3 linked regions of the Nothobranchius furzeri genome follow. The protein of the gene in region 1 purifies or fractionates together with the protein of each later gene. This does not show direct contact. Links are inferred from orthologs where the notes say so. Each region holds a gene or a part of one and is shown in the gene's direction. Other genes may lie near its edges.

Region 1 (8,592 bases):
GGTTAGATCTGCCAACTTGGGAGAGACATTAATTCCCAGGTATGTGATATTCCCTGACTCCAGTTGTGTATTAAGTAAATTGACAAAAGAGAAATTAATTGGTAGAACTGTGGATTTTAACCAATTTATAGAGTAATCTGAAACTTTAGAAAAAGAGTTTATCAGTTCTATTGCTTGGGAGAGAGAGGATTGAGAATTCCGGAGAAAGAGTAAAACATCATCTGCATAAAGACTAATCTTATGTTCTATTTTCTTACACTTTATCCCTTTAATACCTGTTGTTTGCCTAATTGCTGCTGCTAGTGGTTTGATAAAGATAGCAAACAGTGAGGTGGAGAGTGGGCATCCCTGCCTGGTCCCCCTCTGAAGATAGAAGCTAGCTGATATTTGGTCGTTTGTCCTGACACGTGCAGTTGGTGAACTGTATAATGTTTGTAGCAAGTTTATGAAGAAGTTCCCAAAACCAAATTTATATAAAGTTGCAAATAAGAACTTCCAGTTAACTCTATCAAAAGCCTTTTCTGCATCTAGAGATAATATACTAGTTTCTATGTTTCTACTGTAAGAGAAATCTATCAAATTAAGTAATCTACATGAGTTAGTGGATGACTGTCTACCCTTGATGAAACCAGTTTGGTCAGGGTGTATTATGAAGGGGGTTACCTTCTCTAATCTTTTTGCCAGGGCTTTACAAATTATTTTGAGATCAACATTTCTAAGGGAAATTGGGTGATAGCTGGTAGGAAATGCAGGGTCTTTGCCTGGTTTTAACAAGAGACTGATATTGGCTGAATTCATGTTTGGCTGTAATCTCCACTCTCTTCGGTTTCCCTCACCATTCTGAAAAATATTGGAGCCAGAATTATCCAGAATTCTTTGTAGAACTCTGCTGGAAACCCGTCTGGACCTGGAGCTTTCCTATTCGTCATGGATTTAAGGGCTTCCTGGAGCTCCGCTGATGTTAGTGGCGAGTCCAGGACTGTAACTTAGCTGTCTGATAATTTAGGAAGTGTTATCCTGTCAAGGAACTCATCGATCTCGTTATCTGACGGGTTTATCTGTGGTGATTACAAAGTTTGGCAAAAGTCTCTGAAAGTGTTGTTTATTCTTTCAGGCTCATAAACTATATTCCCGGTTGAGTCTTTAACAGCAGCTATGGTAGTTTTCTCTTTATTAATTTTTAACTGGCTAGCTAAAAATTTACCTGATTTATTACTATGTTCAAAGTTTTCTATTCAAAGTCTTTGTGCTAAAAATTGTGTCTTTTTGTCAATAATTCCAAGAAGTTCTAATTTAGCTTTATGTAATTTGCTCATTAACTCTTCTTCTTTGGATGCCTCTAAAGACTTAATGATTTCTTCTAACTCCTGAATATGTTTGTTTTCTGTTTTTTCTTATGTGATGAGAAAGAGATTTTTTTACCTCTCATCACTGCCTTTCCTGCCTCCCAGAGAACAGATGCTGATGTTCCAGGCAGGTCATTATGTTCTAAATATAAAGCCCACTCCTTTTAAAAAAATTCTATAAAACCTTCGTCTTTAAGCAGTGATGTATTAAACCTCCAGTTTTTGCTTGATGGGATTGTCTTCTTGTTTACCAGAGTTAAAGAAACCGGAGCTTGGTCGCTGACAACTATGGGGTGTATCTCAGTGTCTGAAATGTCAGCCAACAATGAGCTGCTGACTAGAAAATAATCCAAACGTGAATGAGAGTGATGGACGTAGACTTTAGATAATCCTTAAAGCGTTAGTTTTATTTATTCCGCATCGAATGGTAGATTGAAGGCACCACGGGAGCTCATCTGACTTCATCGTGACACGAGCGAACACTAGTATCTATTTGTCTGTCTATCTATCTATCATCTATCTATCTATCAATCAATCTATCTATCTATCTATCTATCTATCTATCTATCTATCTATCTATCTGTCTGTCTGTCTGTCTGTCTGTCTGTCTGTCTGTCTGTCTGTCTGTCTAGAAAAATTTGCATTTTTTTCTTTAGCAAATTCTATGTTTAAAATATTTTCTTAAACACAACAAAACATCAGAAACTGGTCTTATTCTTAGTGACGTCTTAAGTTGTAAGTGCATAATTTTTGGTTATAGTTTAATATCTGTCATGTGAAGTAAAGTTAGTTTTACTAAGTTAGTTAGTAAATAGTTTCTGATGAATGTGCCTGCGATTACTTAAAGACTGTTTTAAGTCTGCTTTGATTGCTTGTACATATTGTAAATGAGAACAGTCCGTTGTCTTTATGTCTAATTGTTTTGTCTTGTATTATTTTTTTAATCTTACCTGTTTTTCTTTGATGTAAAGATGTGTCTGTTACTGCAACCTCTTGACCATATCGTTGTAAATGAGAATGAGTTCTCAATCGACTTGTCCGGACAAATAAATAAATAAAGTTCAGCTCTTATTTTGAAATTAGTCATCCGGGTCTCTACAGGCCAAACAGACTCGCGCTGACTCGGACCGTAGCGTGACATCGTAGCGAAGAAACAAAAGGTCCCACCGGAAGTATCCTGTTTTGATGTCAAAACAAAAGCACATAAAATGTGGAGGAGCTATCTTTCAGCAAATTTTACAGTTAAATGTTATTGATTTATGTCATCAGATAGTTCAGAAAAATTCTTAACTTACAAATCTGTGTTTATTCTTAATAATTAATCTTTTATATAATCATCACCATGCATTAATTAATGTTGCACTCAAGCAAACGATGAAGAATCACAAAATAAATATTTTATTTAAAACAAAACGGACCAAAGGATATTCAACTCTAATTTCCCTCTGGAATTAACTTTAATTTCCCTCTGGGATTAATAAAGAATTTTTGAATTGAATTGAACAACTACATTACACTTTGGCTAAATGCCACGTTGTTTTTAATCTTATAAACTAAAATGGGAACTGCTTGAGAAAGAATCAAACACACTAACAATGTCAAAAGAAGAAGCTAAGCTAAAAACTGTCACCATGTCGAGGAACTAACCTTTCCCCTTCCTTTTGTTGCAAACCACGTGAATAAAGAGACTCTAATTTCGAAAGAATAGTTAGATCACAAGTTTGATCTGTCATATTTTCTTTAAAGTGTGTGTCATTTTTTTTTTACTTTAGGACTTGAACAGTACATAATAGAAAACTCTTTATTGTCCCTCAGTGGGAAATGTTGGTGTCACAGCAGCAAACATTCACAAAGGAGCCAAATAAGAGTAAAAAATAACGAATAAAGGTTAAGTAAAATAAAAAAAATAAACAAGAAGAAAACACAAAAACATTTAAATCATTGAAAGTCCTCAAACATTAAAAAAATCTAAAAAAATAATAATGCACACACACACACACACACACACACACACACACACACACACACACACATATATATATATATATATATATATATGAAAATACTAATTTGCATGCACATATTGATAGCAGTGTATTCACAGCAGTATGGAAATTGGAACAAGCAAATAAATAGTTTTATTAGCAATTTTTCAATTACACTTTAATTTAGGTTTGGTGTTAGCTCATTTGATTAAAATTTACATAAAATTACCACAAAAACTATTATCACTTTTTTATATTTGAGTCAATTTCTGATTATTTTATGCAACATATAAAATGTGGCTTATTTAGGAAAATAAAACAGCCAGTGGCCGGTTAGGAAAATAAAACAGCCAGTGGCCGGTTTAGTATATGCACAGCTTTTGAAATTTTTATATTTTTGTCTGAACAAGTGCGAACATTATTTTTAAAGAGCTCTTCCGGAAGCCCAGTAGTAACTTCCGGTGACTTTTAAGTGATGGCAGGAATGGCCGCTATGATTACGAGAGGAAGAAGCTCCGAGACCCTGAAACTTTACTTCTAACGGCCCCGTGGAGGAATCTTTCTCCACTAGGATTTAGAAACACCCCGCCGCTGCGGATCGAGAGGGGACGAGACGCCGTAACGTAAGATTGGCACGGTTGGTGTCCAGATCGAGAAGGTGGACGCAGTTTACGACTTGGCAGTGCCGTTAGTGCGGCTGACTTTGATTCAAGGTAGCTGTTAGCTCTGACTGAGCCAGCTGTTGGCCACTTTGGCTCTGCTATCCAACAAGTTAACGAACTGTGTGAAAGCGTCCCTCGTTGGAATATTCGAGTTGGGCTTGGCGCTGTTTACTTGCACACAGCATTAGGAGCGTTTACGGAGACTGGGGGGCCACGCGACAACAACTCGATACGGTGTGTTGTGGACATTCTCACCGCTAACCTCATCGTTAGCTCGCTGAGTTGGGATCCTGAAGGCTCGCCCATTTTCGGATCCTGCCCCAGCCATTGGCTACGGGTAAATCAGCAGCCAACTCGTCCGGTCTCCAGGTTCACTACGATGGAAAGTCTAACGCTGAGTGATGTGGAGCAGAAATATTACTCGGACTTGTTCGTCTACTGCGACACGGACAACACCAAGAAAGTGGCATCCAACGGGAGAGTTCTTGACCTTTTCCGGGCGGCCCAGCTACCAAGCGAAGTTGTCCTGCAGGTAAGCTAACCAGAGCAGGTATCGGTTTTAAGCCGTTCTGACAACAAAGTAAGACTGAGCAGGAAACCTTGAGCTGTTAACAGATGAGGTATAAAGTTAGCCGTCTGTTAGTGACCTGAGGTTAGCTGGCTGGTTAGCAAAGCTGCGCAGCAACAGACACACCTTCTTCTGGCTAATGTTAGCATCTGTAGCTGCTAGTGGATCCTCTATCTGCTTCTCCTTCTGTTGTGTCTGAATCACTGCTGTTTTTTTATGTGGTCATATGAAAAGCAGAAGACGTGATATTCTCACCAATCCCGTGTCTGACATGCAGCAAAACAGACGGTGTGCCACAGCATGTAGCTTCTAATGTGATTTATGTGGTAAAGAGGGGTTTCAGGTGGGGCTGTAATACCCAGAGTTTAATCATTGAAGGCATCGTTTAACTGCTGTGTTTAATTGCAGTGTCACACAAATTCAGGTGTAAAAGGAAGAATGAATGAACCCACTTCTAAAAAAGCAAACTCTCTAAAAAGAAGCAAAACAATATTTCTAAAAAAATTGTGCAATTAATTTTGTACACAATAAAGCTACAGCTGTTTTTACTGAGTAAACCCACTGGACATTTTAGGATTTCGGTTGTTTCTGTCACTATCAGCCAAACTGATGTCATTTTCTTAGCTGAATCCCATCTTGAATCATTAATATTACAAAGCATTGAGAGCTGGTTTCAAGTGATCAAACTAATGATTAGTGTTGCAACACCCTGCAGCAATAATTGCGGCTGACACCACCCCGTTTCTGTCAGCGGTTTGTTTTTATACTAGTAGTGATGCCTTTCCTTTCGCAACTGTTCTTTTCACTCTTTCCTCAGACATTAACAGTTGATCTGTACTTAAATCAAACAGAAGCATCAGCCCTTGTTTAATCTTGTGCAGCAAATGAAGTTGCAACATGATCTTGGGTTGGGTGACCATAGGATGTAGCTGCCTCAAGTCGTTTCATGTGTGATAATCCCATCTCTGGCACTTATCTGAGTCATGAGCAGCCAGTTAAACTGCAGCGACCCGTTCTCGTGTCTCTCAGCAGTCCAGTATTTGCAGTTTGTGAGTCAGCATCCTTCAAGGTCAGCAAGTCGAGCTGTGTGGAGGAATCAGCCGGCGTTGTACTTTGACAGTACACACTGAGCTCAGTGTTGTTGGCCCATTAGACGCTACGCCGTGGCATGACTGGTGCTTTTTGTGCTCACACACTTCGATAAAGTCCTCTGTCAGCAGCAGGCAAGAAAGGCATCAGTCAGCTGTGGGAGTTCACAGTCCCGAGAGGCTGACACTTCATGGGTTAATCATCCACAGGTTGCAGACGTACTTGTCTTTCCTTTTTTATTTTCGTGAAGACATGATGATTTTTTAACTGTTTTTAAAGTTTCTCCTGTGTTTCCTGATGCTGTTGCGTCCAGCGGATCTGCTAATCGGCACAAAATGATTTAGAATGTGTGATGATCAGGCTTGTGGCTGCTCTCTGAAGTAAACGCTGTAAAACAGGCTGCTGCTCGGGCCACATTCAGAACCGGGACTAAGAGCTTTTGTCAGCTGTTTAGTGTTATGCTTGACATGAGAGAAGGGGACAGTTGATCCTAAAATACCATAATGCTACTTATTGAGAGTTGAACAGAAGCTGTCACAAGTTTGACTCCAGATGAAGACAATAACGTTAACAGTTCCTCGTGTGTGTGTGTGTGTGTGTGTGTTAGATCACAGAGTTATGTGGAGCCACTCGGCTGGGCCATTTCGGACGGAGCCAGTTCTACATCGCTTTGAAGCTAATCGCCATCGCCCAGTCTGGTCTACCCTTGAGGGTGGAAAGTCTCAATTCGGGTGAGTTCCTGTGTAAACCTCACCACTGCTCTACAGACCGATTCCCTTTGCTGGCATCTCAGGAACACAGCATGTGTGAACGGGCTGCTGGACTTGTGTGTTTACCTTTACAAAGAGAGGATTCAGATTTTTTTTTTTTTTTTTTTTTTACTGTTTCTGGACTTTGGAGTAATTTGGGCACAACAATAAGGGACAGGCATTTGTTTATGTTTATTTATTTGGCAGACGCTTTTATCCAAAGCGACTTACAATTTATAACCTATAGGGCATGTTGTGATCTGTGGGGGAAACCGGAGTACCCGGAAGAAACCCACGCATGCATGGGGAGAACACGCAACTCCATGCAGAAAGGCTGCAGCTGAGTTTTCGAACCTGCAACCTTTGTGTTGCAAGGCAACAGTGCTAACCACTGCACCACCATGCAGCATTTGTTGTCATCTTTAGTTATTATACGATACTGTAGAGGAGCAGGAGAAGTTAACCTAAACGGTTTGTGTTCATGGAATAAGCCGTTCAAGCAAGCAGCATTTTTAAAAACTTTATTTAAATTGTCCAACCCCCTTCCTTCAGGCTCCGCCCTTAAGCCACGCCTCCAGAATGGTAAATGGTAAATGTATTTGTATTTGATATAGCTCCTTCTAGAGTCCTGGAACCCCCCAAGGCGCTTTAATACAACACAATCAGTCATTCACCCATTCACACACACATTCACACACTGGTGGGGATGAGCTACGATGTAGCCACAGCTGCCCTTGGGCGCACTGACAGAGGTGAGGCTGCCGAGCACTGGCGCCACCGGTCCCGCCGACCACCACCAGCAGGCAACGTGGGTTAAGTGTCTTGCCCAAGGACCCAGCGACAGACTGAGCAGGGCTCGAACCTGCAACCTTCTGATTACGGGGCGAGCACTTAACTCCTGTGCCACCATCGCCCACATCCAGAATGCAGGAGAATGCTGGATGCAACAGATGCTGTCAAGCAACCAAAAACATAACCTTATCTTACCTTTTTGCCCTGTCGTCGGCACCTTTTCTGGCATAATTCCCAACATAACACACCCACATAACCGCCACGTAGCCCCCAGGCGCCTGGCGACTCCTCGTAATCCGGCGTCCATCAGGGGTTCTTCACTGAAAGCTTAGAACAGAGAATCTACTGGGAACTAGACTGGCGATCCAGTGGGGAGCACTGGATTTATTACACTGGAAACCTCTGCTACTTCAGCTCAGGCTACATACCTGTATAACAATTTAGCATGCTAGCTAATATAGGTAGCCAGACTCTGGCTTCACTTCCTGTGTAGCTGCTCCAAGCCAAGAATGTGCAGTTTGTGCACATAGAGGGGTGTGTGCAGAGGAGGAGGGATGGTCAAAGGGCAGTTTGATGGATGGATCAGGATCCAATCCTTAAGAACGGGACGTCCACAGTGATTGGATGTGGTATTTCCAGGATTGTACATTTGCCGTTGGTATGACGAGCATTTCAACAGTGTGGCAAAAATTCCCCGGGAAAACATCTCCTGCACCTGGATAAAACCATTCACGCTGGACCTGCTCTAATCACCTGGAGACACACAACGAGCTTACCTGGGCTCACAAGCATCGTTTGATCAGTGGACCAGTTTGATTGGTTAATGTCGGCCATGTTTCTGCATATTTGGCATTAAGAAGTCACTCCTCACTAGATGATCTGAGTTTGTAAACATAGAGACGGGAAGGTTTTAGCTTAATGTCACTCTCGCGCTGCCCACAGCGGCCAGGAACTATTTCACATGATGAAATATTTGATACCACATTTGGAGGTCGAGAGGCCGCTTCCTCCTGCATCGTGGAGACGTACAGTGTTGTGGATTTTGGTTTAGAGACCGAATTCAAGCCTTCCACTCCTTAAAAACCATTATTTACACGTTGAAGTCTCCACCGCAGCAACATCACAAGTTTAAGTTCCATGTTTTGTGTGAGGTTCGACTTTGTAACCCAGCAGTAACGAGCTGAACAGACCTGTTTGTTTCATTTTGAGGAAGCAGCTGTGACCGTCTTTATGAGCTATAATCCCATCATCTGATTACAGCAGCTCTCTCTCTCTCGGCTGCAGAGAGTCAGAGTACCCCAAATGCTGACAGCTTCTGTGTCTTTTGCAACGATTTGATTAGGAAGCGTTGTGAATAATTATTTTATTTTCTTCCTCGTCAGTCAAGGATCTGCCGCTGCC
Region 2 (7,341 bases), on another chromosome or scaffold:
GAGCGCTCTCTTTCGTTGACGACGCTAACATTAGCAACTCCTCAGCTAACCGCGGCTAGTTAACGTCAAGCTAGCCGCGGTTAGCTTGATGATAACGGAAAGCATGCTTTAAGATTCCTTCAAAGCTTAAAACGTGCCATCACATAACATTTTGATGCTGTTTTAGTTGGTTTGTTATGTAATTCATATCGTTTACACGTAAGTCACTGTAACTTGCTGTAACACACGCGATAACCTCAGTTTTTCTACCCACCGGAAGCCCGTTAAAAATCCGCTCGGCTCGCTGAGGATCGTCGGCAGCTAGCCTGCTAAATTAGCTAGCCATCGCTGTCTTCAGGGTATTCTCCATCACTTTGATCATACTGAAGGTCAAATTTTGAACCGAGCTAATACATTTAAATAACGTTTTAAACAAACCATACAGGGAAAAGATTATACATCGATGGTAGAAAAATATATAAAATGTATGAACATTGGTAAATGGCCCGAGTGAGCAGACATCTTGACTAAACCGATAAATGTACGATTCAGGTTTGGTGCAGGGTTTAATCGGTCACGACTGCTAGTAGTAATTTGTTTAAGAAAATTCTCAACACTCTCTATAAAAGTGTTTCAGTTATGCCTTCTAGGAATGCCATGGATGTCCTTTTTCCATCCTAAATTTTCTAGAAGCAGCATTTTTTAAACTGGCAGTTTTATTAGTAAAATACACTTAATTAAAAAAAACTTACATCCCCACGGGGATAAAAATGGTACATTTCGGATGTTAGTCCTACCAGGTCTAGGTAGGGTTTAGCGGACTATGATGATCTCAGATTTATATCTTTATCTGGTAGCATCCTACCCCAAACCGGTGGCTGCTGCTAATCTGTTAATCTTATTTGGAAGTGTGTGTGTGTGTGTGTGTGTGTGTGTGTGTGTGTGTGTGTGTGTGTGTGTGTGTGTGTGTGTGAGAAAGAGAGAGGTGAAGCTGCCTAAAAAGCTGGTGCAGCTATGCAAATGAGTGATTTAATAAAGTCACTAATGGTGTAGTGCAGCTGCAAGAGAGTGTGTGAGTGAGAGAAACAGGAAAACGGATGCGAGGGACAAGTGCCTCTCTGTACTGTGGGTGACTTTTACTTTACACTGCTTTTACTTTCCTATCTCCCCTTTTCCTTCCCAAATTTCAATCTTTTTTTTTATCCTCAGGAGGGGTTTGGTTTCATCATGGCAAGTTGGGATTGAGAAGCATTCACAATGATTGGAGGATTGTTCATCTACAACCACAAGGGAGAGGTTCTCATCTCCCGCGTCTACCGAGATGACATAGGGTATGTTTCTCAGACATTATGTGCGATGATAATCTTGTGGGTGGACTGTTTAGGTTTGATTCTGGATGAGAGGATTATTATGGGTTTCTGTTTAGCTAAATTAGTGTTTGGCATGTTTCTGCAAAGAAACAACACAATTTTATTGTCTGAGGCAATGATTTGCTTCCCTTGTGCTTATCATAAACCACACCTTCAAATTAAAAGATTAGACGCAGCTGTGTGGAATGCTCAAATTCAAATTGGCTTCACTGCCAGTTTCCTCATGGTGGGATAGTATTTGAATTATCATTTTCTTCTTCTGACCAAGTAATTTATTTGCTAAAATGTGTTCCTTTTCTTCTTTTTTTTTTTTTTGCCTCAATACATTTGTGTTTGCAAATACACTTGACTACACTTGTGATTTTCTCACTCTTGTAAGTCAAACTGTTTAATGCAAAATAGACCTTTCTGTATTGATGATTAATATTGAATGCATTATTTTATACAATGCTATGGTTAATATTTTACTTTGTTAGCAAAATATATAAATAATTATTTCTGCTGTAATCATTTACACTAAACGAAAAGAGGCGTGTCTGTGAGCAGAATATCTTATTGCTGCATCTGTGGTAAATTTAATTAATTTGTTCACCTTTGCTCTTTTAAATGTCTGAGTTCATTAGAGCAGGGGTTCCCAAATTGGGGGTCTGGGCCCCCAAGGTGTCCCAATAAGATTACTGGGCATTTTCTTAGCTGAGGTTGGCAAGATTTTATTTGTAAAAAAAAAAAAATTACATTTAGAAAATCATGGTAACACACCCTACAGTATAATCAGAACTCCATATAAAAGTTTGTAAATGATCACATTAATGTGTAATGCATGTTGGGGTTGGGGTCCTGGCTTGTCTTGGACATGGGCTATGGGGTCCTCAAAGGAAAGACTTGAACTCCTGCATTAAAAATTTTATTATGAAAGGTTAAAACATGTAATGAAACCCATGCTGGATACTTATTCTGAAATGTGGTTTAAAAACGGAGCTGAGTCATCACAACCAGTGCTGAGCAGCAATAGATGGAAAAATGTAGCCACTCACTTTTTTTTAATTTCATTCATTTTACAAAAAGGCATTGCTGTGTTAGGGCAAATGTAAGGTCTGCACTGCTCTTGTGCAACGTGTTATGGATATGATCTAAGTAGAATTTCCACCTTGCTTTCCCAGAATAAACATCTGCTCGTGTGTGTGCTTTCACCACTGTGTGTTGTACAAAATTCCACTGAACCCAAAAAAGAAAAGAAAATTAAAACACCCGCTCATTTTATTTTCATTGCATTATGCTGGAAAAAGCATAGTTGTGTGAATCCATGAATTTCATAGCTTATTGATGTTGCTTCAGTAGTTTTCGTAGGTATTCGTCCCCCTGGCTGCAGCAGCAGTGTAACACAAACCAGATGTTTTAGGTTTGCTCCTTGACCGCTGCATTAAATTCCTCATGCCTCTGTAATTGTGTGTAAATTAACTAGCATGTTTTTATCAGTCTGAAGCTGTTTGCCCTTTCCCTCCTGTACCTAATTGTGAAAATAGCACCCTAATAATAAACACCACGTTACTCACTCTGTCTACATAATGCACAAAAATGTCAATTGTACATTTTTGTCTCTCCTTTCTGTTTACCTCATCCCTTTTCTCCTATCTCTATCACCTCTCCCATCTGTTTCATCTTGGCCCATGTAGGAATAGGTAAGAGCTGCTGCAGCGTTTAAAGCATGACCCCCTCTCCCCCTTTCTCATGGCCTCAGATCAGTCACCCCATGAACCTTAAACCGCATGCCTTGGTCAAATACCCAGCAGTTCCTGTAAGCATGAGTCCTTACAGCAGTAAATAAATGGCTTTGTACTGAAATGCAGCAGATTAACTCAGATCTAAGAATTTATTTTCAGTTAATGTCAGCAGGAAATATTGTTGCTAAATCAGCTGTTCTGGTATCCCAGCATGGAGTCTGAGCATGGGATCTGATAATTCCATTTTCTCTCGGAAATCTTTGGTATAGTTTGAGGTTTTACTTGTAAAGGTGGCCTTTTGAAAACGTTTTCATACACAGGAGGTAATCAGGTCATCGATCAACAGTTTTAATCTGTGGTGCATTTGTTGGTTTATCTCAGACCCTCGTCAGAGCCATCCTTGCACTGAGCCCCAATTTTTGCTACAAAATAGTTTTTTCCAAATCTAAATAAAGATGACATTTGGAGAGTTTGTGATTAAAGTACATGATATAAACATGTTTTCTTTCCTATGACTCCTCCAAATCTAGGGAATGATAAGTTTTTATTTTCTCTCTCTGTGAAGACTATCACAGTTTACACCAAACACTCTAAATGCACCAGCCCAGAACGTCCCGCTTTTGCTGCTTGGATTTTGATATTTGCCTCCTTGAGAAATAAAAACAAGGGCATGTTAGTGAGGAGCGGGGGAGTTATTTCCTTTTTAATGTTAAACTTTATATTAGCCCCGCTCTGCAGCCTTTTTTTATTTCAGAGATCGTAAAATAATCCGCTCTAATGTTGACAAGCATATGATTGGCTTTAAAGTCCAACCTAAATGTTTCTTTCTGTCTCACCCCTGCTCGTCGTTGCAGGCGGAATGCCGTGGACGCGTTCCGCGTGAACGTGATTCACGCCCGGCAGCAGGTCCGGTCGCCGGTGACCAACATCGCCCGCACCAGCTTCTTCCATGTCAAGCGCTCAAACATATGGTTGGCAGCTGTGACCAAGCAGAATGTCAACGCTGCCATGGTGTTTGAGTTCCTTTACAAGATGTGTGACGTCATGACTGCCTACTTTGGCAAAATCAGCGAGGAGAACATCAAGAACAACTTTGTGCTCATCTACGAGCTGCTGGATGGTAGGAGACGATCCTGGAGTCTATTAGTCATATAATAAACATTTTGTAGGACTGCTGGACTTACACATGTCTGGGTGTAGAAAAAAAGCCTAATGTTCTGTTAGTCAGTCAGCACCGGCTACTCCGTGTACTTCATGTTCTAGTTTTCTCTACACTAGTCTTTTATCGCTAACCGCTATCTACTGGTGTTTGTTTATTCAGAGATCCTGGACTTTGGCTACCCCCAGAACTCAGAGACCGGAGCCCTGAAGACCTTCATCACCCAGCAAGGCATTAAGGGACAAGTAAGTACAGTGTTTGCCCCCGACTGATGTAGAGCTTTCAGTTTGATGTTTTTGTAGAAGATAACCTAGAAAAGTGGTGTTCAGATGAACTAAATTCACTCTAACCTGAAGCGATGAATAGTTTAAAGACAATCTGGTGGTGGAAATGTTTATTTTTGTATCTGATTCTAGTAAACTTTACATGTGGTTAATTTGTATGAATATTAAATGTGTGTTTGTTTGTGTGTGTGTGTGTGTGTGTGTGTGTCATTGTTTCCCTCGTCTGCGGTTTTTGGACCATTCAGCACCAGGTAATGTTGAAAGTTTTGTAAAAAGTCGTGTTTTCATGTGTTTCCACTCTCTGTCATCCTCTGATCATCATCATCCTTGTGTGGAAGTTTTGCTCTTTGTTCCTGATCCAGTTTCTGCTCCTGTTTCTCAGACAAAAGAGGAGCAGTCTCAGATCACCAGCCAGGTGACGGGCCAGATCGGCTGGCGTCGTGAGGGCATCAAGTATCGCCGCAATGAGCTCTTCCTGGATGTACTGGAAAGTGTTAATCTGCTCATGTCACCTCAAGGTCTGTTTATGTCCTCTAAAGACGTCCCTGACTGCTAACATAAAAAGATCCGAGGAAATGTTGACATTCAGAGACGTCTAAATGACTTGCTATCAAGTTTTGCCATGAAGGTCGACTAAAACTAGTTGAAGACTTTTTGATCGTGTTTACTTCTGCAGCTTTAAACAGAGATGGTACTGTAGAATAATTTTAGTATTTCCACAGTTTTAGACCTGAATTAAAAAGTCCTATTGTGCAGAAACGCTGTCTAAATATGGTGGAACCTGTCCCAGCGGTGTCCAGATGTTGATCCTCTCACTCCTTCCATCCAGGCCAGGTCCTGAGCGCCCACGTGTCGGGCCGTGTTGTGATGAAGAGCTACCTGAGCGGAATGCCGGAGTGCAAATTCGGCATGAACGACAAGATCGTCATCGACAAGCAGGGCAAGGGAGGAGCGTCCGACGATGCAGGGAAAAGGTGAGTGATGCGTGAGTGAGGAGGCAGGCGCTTTGGTCAAACGTGCTTTCATAAGGAGGGACATAAATTATGACTTTGCTTTTCTTGTCTAAATAGTTCTGTCCTTGAGCTCCGACTAAGAAATTCTTTTGTCCTTTTGTTTGCTCTCCTTTTGGATGGCTCTCTGTCTTTTATCCTTTCTTTACTTTGTGCTGTACCACAGTGATTTAGGGGGAGGAAGGTACGATAGCAACAAGGTTCCTCTCCCTCCACCGCTTCATTCTCCTCCTGTGTTCTGCCCAGTAACTGTTTCATCATCCCTAACCGTCCTAGTTCACTCTTTACCCATCATCATTTACTGTAGTTTTGTAGTAATAATTTAATCCAGGTTCAAATGTTGTCTTCTAGCAGCCATGTCTTTGTACTTAAGTATACTGGTGGATATCCAGAGAGTAGATTTTATCTGTAGATTGGAAAAGGATAGTTAAAATCCAGACTAGTAACAAGTTAGTTGGTGTGTCTGATGCATCTTCTGTCCTCTTCAGTGGGAAGCAGTCCATAGCCATTGATGACTGCACTTTCCACCAGTGTGTGCGTCTCAGTAAGTTTGATTCTGAGCGCAGCATCAGCTTCATCCCTCCTGATGGAGAGTATGAGCTCATGAGGTCAGTAATGGTAGTAGATTATTAGAGCCTAAAGCATCCATGAATGTCTGCTCTGATAGATCCTGCTGGGTTTTTATTTATTTTTTTATTTTTCCACTCATTCAAAATTTTGGTGGATTGATAATTCCCCCCCCCCCCCCCATTTATTTTTATTAATTTACTTTTTAAATGTATGTATTTTTCAGATATCGCACCACTAAGGACATCATCCTGCCGTTCCGAGTTATTCCTCTGGTCAGGGAGGTGGGTCGCACCAAACTGGAGGTTAAAGTGGTCATCAAGTCCAACTTCAAACCTTCGCTGCTGGCTCAGAAAATTGAGGTCAGCAAACACATTTTTACATTTTTGATGAAATTCTTTAAGTTTTGACTTCACTGGTAAATATCTGGGCTAATTCTCTCCTCAGGTGCGAATTCCAACACCCCTCAACACTAGCGGTGTGCAGGTGATTTGCATGAAGGGAAAAGCCAAATACAAGGCCAGTGAGAACGCCATAGTCTGGAAGTGAGTTGGAGCTTAGATTAAATTTAATTAACAATCTGAACTCGATGTTTAACCTCTCAAGTATTCCTGTGTGGGAATGTTTCCTTTGTGAAGCTACAAGTTTGCATTTGCAGGATCAAGCGGATGGCTGGGATGAAGGAGTCTCAGATCAGTGCTGAGATTGAGCTGCTGCCTACCAACGATAAGAAGAAATGGGCCAGGCCTCCCATCTCTATGAACTTTGAGGTAAGCGCAGCACAGTCCAGTCTGTCCTCCTTTAAGCTGTCACAGCTTAAGAGCTTCCTAATTTCAGTCGGATTCAAAGTGAACTTTTCTCTTCCAGCTGATGTTTCTAAAACTATATTTATTCTGTGAACAGTCACAGACATAGATAATAATAAGTTAGATATTTCCCAGCTTCTCCTGGTGGCTGAGACTGTAATGTGGTGTTGGCAGCCAAACAAATGGACTCTGGGTTAAATCAGATCCCAGTATTTGCTAAGAAACTTAAAAGCCGTTTAGTGTTAAACAAACTCAGAGCTTCGGTGGTGGGTAAACAGAGCAGCCCGCCTGTCCTAACATGTTCCAACTTCCCTCTCCTCTCCAGGTTCCTTTCGCACCCTCTGGCCTGAAGGTGCGCTACTTGAAGGTGTTTGAGTCCAAGCTCAATTACAGTGACCACGACGTCATCAAATGGGTGCGGTACATCGGCCGCTCCGGCATCTAC
Region 3 (6,980 bases), on another chromosome or scaffold:
CCATTGACAACTAAAGTCGTCATTTACATTTTTTTTACTGTTTGGGCATCGGAACGAGCCCCCGAGCCGAGAGAACAAACATCTCAGCTCTAAAGCCAATCTTCATCCGCATACATCACACGTCACACGTCCAGGAAGCAGAAAATCCATGTGTTAGATCGTTTTGGGCCGTTCCTGTAAAAGAAAAGTGAGGCGCGAACCGGCAAAGCTTCTGCCGATCACAGTTCGACAACGGATTATGAAAGAACAGATAACGCTCGAAACACGCGGATTCTTCCTAATGTAAGAGGTGAGTCTACTCTTTGTTTTGGTTGTTTTGGCGTCGACATCATCCTAACGTGCAACGTTCTGTGACTCTTAAAAAAACCGTAAAAACGGTGAGAAACTCTGGCAGCGAATGAGCTAAGCAAGGATGTGTGGAATCAGCTGGGGCTATCCGGGCGGTGTGGAGCTGATGCTAGTGGGAAAGGGACAAAAGTGTCTTGCCCAAGAACACAACAGCAGCATTCTCTGCTCAAAACTGGGATGGAACCTGCAACCTTTTGATTACTGGACAGCCCGCTCTACCCCCTGAGCTACTGCTGCCCCAGATAAAAGAAAAATATCTGTTTGTATTTTAAAGGTTGTTTACAGTTGGAGTGCACATACGTGCACGTGGCTGAACTCTGCAACAAGCGTCTGCGCCTCTGCGTCTTCCTGTAAATACGAGTCTGCTTTCATTCAGCTAGGATCGGTAAAACCATGCAATAAACTCTAGAAGCACCTGACTGTTGACCAAAACTAAAGGAGACAAACGGAGTTTCATTCCTGCTGCCTGGAAGGAATCAACGTCTTCGTCAGTCGTTCTGTTTTTATCCAATCGAGATGTTTGTGGCTCTTCAAACACAGAGCATACAGACGTGTTTCAACACCCACTGCCGACATGCTCGGTGCTTGAAGAACCACAGGAATCGGATTGTTTTTAGTTCCTTGTGTGTTTTTCTCAGCCTTATGTTTGTTTCCACGAGTGTGCTGTTGGTTTCCTTCAGATCAGAGCTGCTTTACCTGGATCCAGTTAGCATCAGAGCTGCTTTACTCAGATCCAGTTAGCATCAGAGCTGCTTTACTCAGATCCAGTTAGCATCAGAGCTGCTTTACCTGGATCCAGTTAGCATCATGGAGCCAACAGATTCGAAACTAATTGACACGCAACTGATTATTATGGGAAAGCTAATAATATTAAACTCCTATTTAGCCAAAATAGCTGAGATCTTAGAGGTTTCTGTAAATTTGGACCAAAATGTTGTAGAAAAGCTGCCAAACAAAAAGTTCCGAGTTTATTTATGTAACTGAAAAATCTGATTCAACAGTATTCAAGTCTGAGCTTTAGTGACCTCTAGTGGAGATTTTGTGTCCACGTCCCACCCAGATGGTCAGGACTGTCGGCGGCTGGGTGGGATGGCTGGGACACAGGAAGTTAAAGTATAAAAGTCTTTAGATTTAAGCTCTGGAACTTGGATCCCTCTTGGGGGTTTTCAAAGTAAAATCAACATAAAATGATTATTTTTTTTAAAGTGGACTTTAATGTTAGTTTAACTAAATGATGTAAATGTTGGGAAAAAAGTTTTATTTTAAGAAATGTTTAATTCGGCTGCAAAACTAAACGTGACCTGCTTTAGGTCCCAAATAAGAGTCAGAGGTCAGCCCTGAGCCCTCATTCATCACATTTAACTGGGTAGCGTTTAGCTGAAGGTAAGTTGAACCCCCCTCACCACCCGCTTTTATGGGTTTTCCTCCGTGAGGTCACAGCCATCCTCAGAAACATCTTGTTTGTGTTTTTGGGCGACGCAGCTCCAGCTGGGACAAACTCGAGCCATGAACCTTTAAAGCCCTGCTGGCGGTGCAGAAACGTCATTCACGTCCCAAAGAAAAACCTCGTTTACCTGCTTTTATTTTAGAGTGTAATCTGGTTTCAGTACAGGTCAAATTTGAACCCTTCTCACAATAAAATATTGAAGTTTTACTTGAAGTCAGACAGAAGCAACAGATCACTAACCTGTCTCTCACGTGTAAACGGTCCTGTATCATAACTGTTGCTGTGAATGTGTTTCTCTAGTGTTGATAAATAAACATGTAAAATCAATCACTTTGGGTGTTTTTATTTACTTAGAAGCTGTTGACTCCAACACAACAAGATGTTCCTGGTTTGGCTGTCCCAGTTCCTCGTCCTGTTTAGCCAGCTGACGCACAAGAGTCCCGTTTCTCCAGCGGTTTAGTAAAACTATTTTAATTAGAACGTTTTAGTGGTTAAACCTGCAGTTTTAGAGCAAAATAACCATGCAGATGTACATAAAGACTTAAAAGTTGTAAACCCTGATTTATGACTCAAATCTTTATTGGATACAGAAAAGATTTTAAAAGCACTGCTGATTCAGTCCTGAACACCAAACGGCAGCATGTGGGGGTAAAAAAGCCGTTCCTGGGTCTGAGATGAGCTCTCCTCAGCAGATCATCGGGCTGAACAGAACCAGAGGATTTGTGTTTGTTTGGGATTTCTAAGATTAAAGGAAATGTTTGCCTCTGGCTGATGGAGAAGAAAAGATTAAAGAAAACCGTTTTCTCTTGTGGGTTCAGGAGGCTGAACGCTTCAACAAGCCCAGAGGAGAAGCGATCCTGATCTCCACAAGTCAGAGATGATTTTATTTGGTTTATTTTTTATGTCCACTCGTCTTCTGCCAGAGCCCAGGCAGCGTGCAGTCAGTCTCCTCCCAGAGGACGACGTCTGATTATTAAGACGTCTCTGGAGTCGCGAACGGGAATAGGAGCTGTAATCTGTGATCCGAACATGCTGGTTTGTATTCAGATCTTTTTATGCTTCATAGCTTCTCTTGGCTGATTCCTGGTGTCGTCCTGCCAGTCAGGATGAAAAGGTTCCCGTCTCCGTGTTCACAGCAGGGGTCTCCTGATTCAGAGCTCCCTCTAAACTCAAATTGGCTTCTTTAGTTTCAATACAGTTGGAGACGCTCCACCTGCTAATTAGGCTCATTTTAGGTTTATTCAAATCTCCCGGACATAAATAACAAGATACTTTGTAAATTAAACACCTCCAACATGCAGAAATTAGACCGGAGCAGGAAGGACAAGTCTGGGCAGACGACCCGAGTCGGTGCTTCCATTTTTTTTAAGGGATATTTTGAGTTTTAAAAGGCATCTATGTCCTCGACCTTTAAGCTCGTTCTTCCCACCGCGCAGAGTACGCCACGCACATACACACACAGGTTAACAGTTTCTGGTGTTCCTGCAGGAGCCGGCGTGATGAAGAGTGAGCAGAACACAGAGGTTCCTGAGGGTCCGGACGCAGCCAAAGAGGCCAAGCCTTGCAGAAAAAGCATCTCTAAACCTGGGGAAGAGTCAGAAAGTGACTTTGAGTCTGACCCACCATCTCCGAAGAGCAGCGAGGAAGAAGAGCAGGAAGAGGAGGCCTTGAACAGTGAGCATGGTGAGGACACGGAGCCGGAGAACCTGGGACAGCGTCCCCTGCTGATGGACTCTGAGGAGGAGGATGAAGAAGACAAACACAGCTCGGACTCAGACTCCGACCTCAGCCGGGTCAAGAGCCGCTCAAAGAAGCCCAGAGGAGCTACAGAAGCTGCTTCCAGGTCTCCGCAGGGCATGAGTCTGATCACCCCCCCTGTGTCTCCCAGCAGAGCCACTGTGTTGAAGGACGTGGATGTCTTTGGTGCTGTTCCCTTCCTTGGAGGAAGTTCGCCTGTCGGACCCTCAGAGAGTACTGACATCTTCTTCAAAGCACCTTTCAGGCAGGTTGGCCATGACCAGCCGGCAGCTGATGATTTTGATGTTTTTACCAAAGCACCGTTCAGCTGCAACCTCTCCAAGTCTGGAAAGAGCAGCGGCGACGTTCCCATGGGCCAGACGCCTCCCATGTCCCCGGACAGCATCGATGTCTTTGGCTTCTCCCCTTTCCACCCGGGCCCTACTGAAGCTCCTCCTACCACCTCAAAGAGCGCAGATGACATATTTCGCTCATCTTTTGAGGATCTGGCCACTCAGCAGCAGAGGCTGAAGCAACGCAGCCTCCAGAAGTTGTCATCACGACAACGGAAAACAAAACAGGAAGTGACTGCAGGGGGCAGCAACGGGAAGCGGCATCACGGGACCCCAACCGGCGGACGCAAGAGCAACAAGCCGACGTACCGCACCCCAGAGAAGGTCCGGCGGCACAAGAAGGTCAGCCGCAGAGACTCTCAGAGCAGCAACGAGTTCCTGAGTGCCTCCGACTCGAAAGAGAACATCAGCGTTGACATCACTGTGGCTGAAGGCAAGGACAAGGCGGCGGCGGTGGACGATCCAGTCTTAGATCCGTTTGGGGCCAAACCGTTCCACCCCACGGAGAGCGGTAAGTCCTGGATGGGCTCGCATCGCAGCGGAGACAGCAGGTCCATGGATGATTTTGGGGCGGTGCCTTTCACAGAACTGGTCATCGGTAGCGGACCTCAACAGCAGCAGGTGGCGGCACCTCTAGTGGACCTTGACCCATTTGGAGCTGCACCTTTTCCCTCCAAGCCTTAACTTGTCTTCCTGCTCAGGTAGCTGATTAACCCGGACTTTGGTTCGGGATCATCTTTTTATTCTAACATGTTTTTAGCTTCAGCTTTACGCCTTTAGGAGCCCGAGACTGTGCTGTGATACGTAACTGCAAAAAGCTCTTCATGCTTCTGCTGCTTAAGCACCACGACGCCTTACCCCGCTGCACCGACCGCAGCTTTAACCACTTTAAGGGATTTCTGTCTGCAGCTGAATGTTTCTAGAAGGGAATCGGGAAACTTCTGTTTGGCTCTTTTTTTTATGAACAAAGGAAATAAAACATGAAGCAGATGTCTTCAACAGGTTGTGATTTACATGTTTTTTACTCTCGTCACAGGAAATAAAACAAGGTCTCAGAACATTTCAGAAGCGTAAATAATTTAAAAACAGAACCTTTGTTTTTACACCTAATAGAAGGAAAATGGCTTCATTCCAAAACGACCCTTAAACTCCTGCCTGGAGGGTTGTTCTGGCAGACTGAAGAACTTATTTACACGAGTCTATAAATATGTTGCCATGGTAACCACTTAGGTTTTACTGCAGCTAATAATTTAGACTACTGAATCTGTGATAAGCCCTTCACTCGTGGTACATTTATCATGTGTTTTATTTTAAAAATGATGGGATTAACCGATTCAGCCGGGATGCATCGTAGCTAAGCTCACAGACGTCAGCAGAACCATAACGATCTAAAGACTGATGATGACCAGCAGCAGAGCTCACCTGTGAAGGTTAAGCACCAGAAATGGTCTCCCTGCCAAACCACCACTGCACCCCCTAGTGGTTGTTTCTTCAAATTACATTTTTGGTTCTTTTTTGAAACACAGGAAAGGTTTCTCTTTACCTTGCTGACGCTGATGGTGGCATCACTTCCTACTCTTGTGTACCCGCGGGCAGCAGAGGGCGTTGCCTCCAGCCACCATCAGCTCAGAGGATGTTTGCAGCCGCAAACGAAACGTCAGCAAGGTACAGAGAAACCTTTCCTGTGTTTTAAAAAGAACCAAAAATGGGACGTTGGAACAAAGCTGCTGGTGAAACTTTCATAAATGCACCGTCAGACCCGTCGCTCAAAAAGCAAACACCTGCATCAGCTGATTCAGGTAAACCCACAGGGAGGGTCTCCTCAAACGCCAGTTTAAAGACTTTCTCAGAGACGAGTCCCCGTGGAGCAGAAACCACCAGCTGGCTTCACTACGGTGCCCAGCAAGGACCAAAATACATCCAAGGTCTTCAACCCTACCTGTTAAGAGTTGGTGGTGTCTCCCTACAGCAGCAGTACCCTAGCGGGTTCTGTAGAAACCAGCAGAACCATCCTGCATGTTGGAATGAAGCCATGACAACATCAGAAACGCTGCTTCCAGGCTTGTTCTGGGTAATTAAATGCTTGTAAGCTAAAGTAAGAGACGCAGCTGCGCCCTCTAGGGGCCAGGCTGCTTCTGGAGCTAACATATGAAACAGTCCCTTGATCAACACCTGGAACAGTGAAGCTTCAGCGTTGGTCAGCAGTCTGACCATGAAGCTAACCTTTGACCCTGGTCTTCTGGCCTGCTGATGGTTTCCTCCATCGCTGCAGACGATCTACAGCTCTTCTCTTACATCTGTTTGGGTGTATACACAAACTTCATGTGAAAACGGGACATTTGATCTGCTGCTGTTTGTGCAAAGCAAGAAAAGAAACCAGAAGGTTGTCACGCGGGTGTCCCGATGTGGAGTTAGAAATCAGCTGTTCACATAAACAATAACACGCTGCTCACCGTCCTGGTCCCCTGACGAGGAGCTATGAATGCTGGGAAGCTTCAGGACACGGCTGGCTGTGTCTGTACGCCATGATGAAGCCCGACGTCTGGTGCCACCAGTAAAACATCAGAACCAGCAGTAGGTGCCACACCTGGTGGCTGGAGCCCAGGTAGTTCAGCTGACCTGGAGACACGAAATAGAAGACTAGAGGTTCTGATGCTTAAACGTGCTGGGTGGGCCAGGTTCAAATAGAGGCTCAGGAGGTTAACATCCCATAATAATAAACCGGATCTCACCTGGGAAGTAACGCTCGGGAACTTTGGAAACATAAAAGACGAGCGCCAGCGCAGCGATGAAGTACATCCCCAGGACCCGCGGCACAAAAGCCTGCAGAGGAAATCGGGTCAAACCTCAGAGTCACAAAGCCGAGCAGGTGAAGGCGGTCCAGCTCACCTGGACCAGCTCCGAGGAGAAGCCTCCTGTGATGCAGATCCAGTGGACAGTGGGGACCAGGCCGTATCCGGCCACCGAGCAGAAGATGAGCGAGCGAAGCTGCTTCCACTGCTTGCTGAGGTAGAGAGGGTGGATCTGAGCGAAGAACACGGCCAGGATCATGGCCAGGACTGTCACCAGGTACACCTGCCGCAGGTACTGCAGAC

What was found. Proteins that work in one complex are often made in the same cells at the same time.
Region 2: the proteins of reps1 (region 1) and AP-2 complex subunit mu-A purify together in Homo sapiens (affinity purification with mass spectrometry; 3 studies listed by BioGRID and IntAct, counting the BioPlex papers as one, with this or other methods). This does not show direct contact. The link is inferred for Nothobranchius furzeri from reciprocal best matches to the Homo sapiens genes REPS1 and AP2M1.
Region 3: the proteins of reps1 (region 1) and bmp2k purify together in Homo sapiens (affinity purification with mass spectrometry; 3 studies listed by BioGRID and IntAct, counting the BioPlex papers as one, with this or other methods). This does not show direct contact. The link is inferred for Nothobranchius furzeri from reciprocal best matches to the Homo sapiens genes REPS1 and BMP2K.

Annotation. Positions count from the first base shown.
Region 1 is NC_091742.1:12,195,505-12,204,096, forward strand, and holds the start of reps1 (ralBP1-associated Eps domain-containing protein 1), read left to right. Parts: upstream 1-4,049; 5' UTR 4,050-4,372; coding exon 4,373-4,525; intron 4,526-6,257; coding exon 6,258-6,381; intron 6,382-8,573; coding exon 8,574-8,592. UniProt on the Homo sapiens protein: May coordinate the cellular actions of activated EGF receptors and Ral-GTPases.
Region 2 is NC_091751.1:56,897,073-56,904,413, forward strand, and holds part of AP-2 complex subunit mu-A, read left to right. Parts: intron 1-1,188; 5' UTR 1,189-1,236; coding exon 1,237-1,310; intron 1,311-3,924; coding exon 3,925-4,190; intron 4,191-4,391; coding exon 4,392-4,474; intron 4,475-4,895; coding exon 4,896-5,031; intron 5,032-5,342; coding exon 5,343-5,487; intron 5,488-6,011; coding exon 6,012-6,131; intron 6,132-6,316; coding exon 6,317-6,452; intron 6,453-6,537; coding exon 6,538-6,635; intron 6,636-6,748; coding exon 6,749-6,860; intron 6,861-7,221; coding exon 7,222-7,341.
Region 3 is NC_091750.1:39,726,934-39,733,913, reverse strand, and holds the end of bmp2k (BMP-2-inducible protein kinase), read left to right. Parts: intron 1-3,283; coding exon 3,284-4,569; 3' UTR 4,570-4,884; downstream 4,885-6,980. Other genes in the region: paqr3a (progestin and adipoQ receptor family member 3a), read right to left, coding at 6,362-6,504, 6,618-6,708, 6,775-6,972. UniProt on the Homo sapiens protein: May be involved in osteoblast differentiation.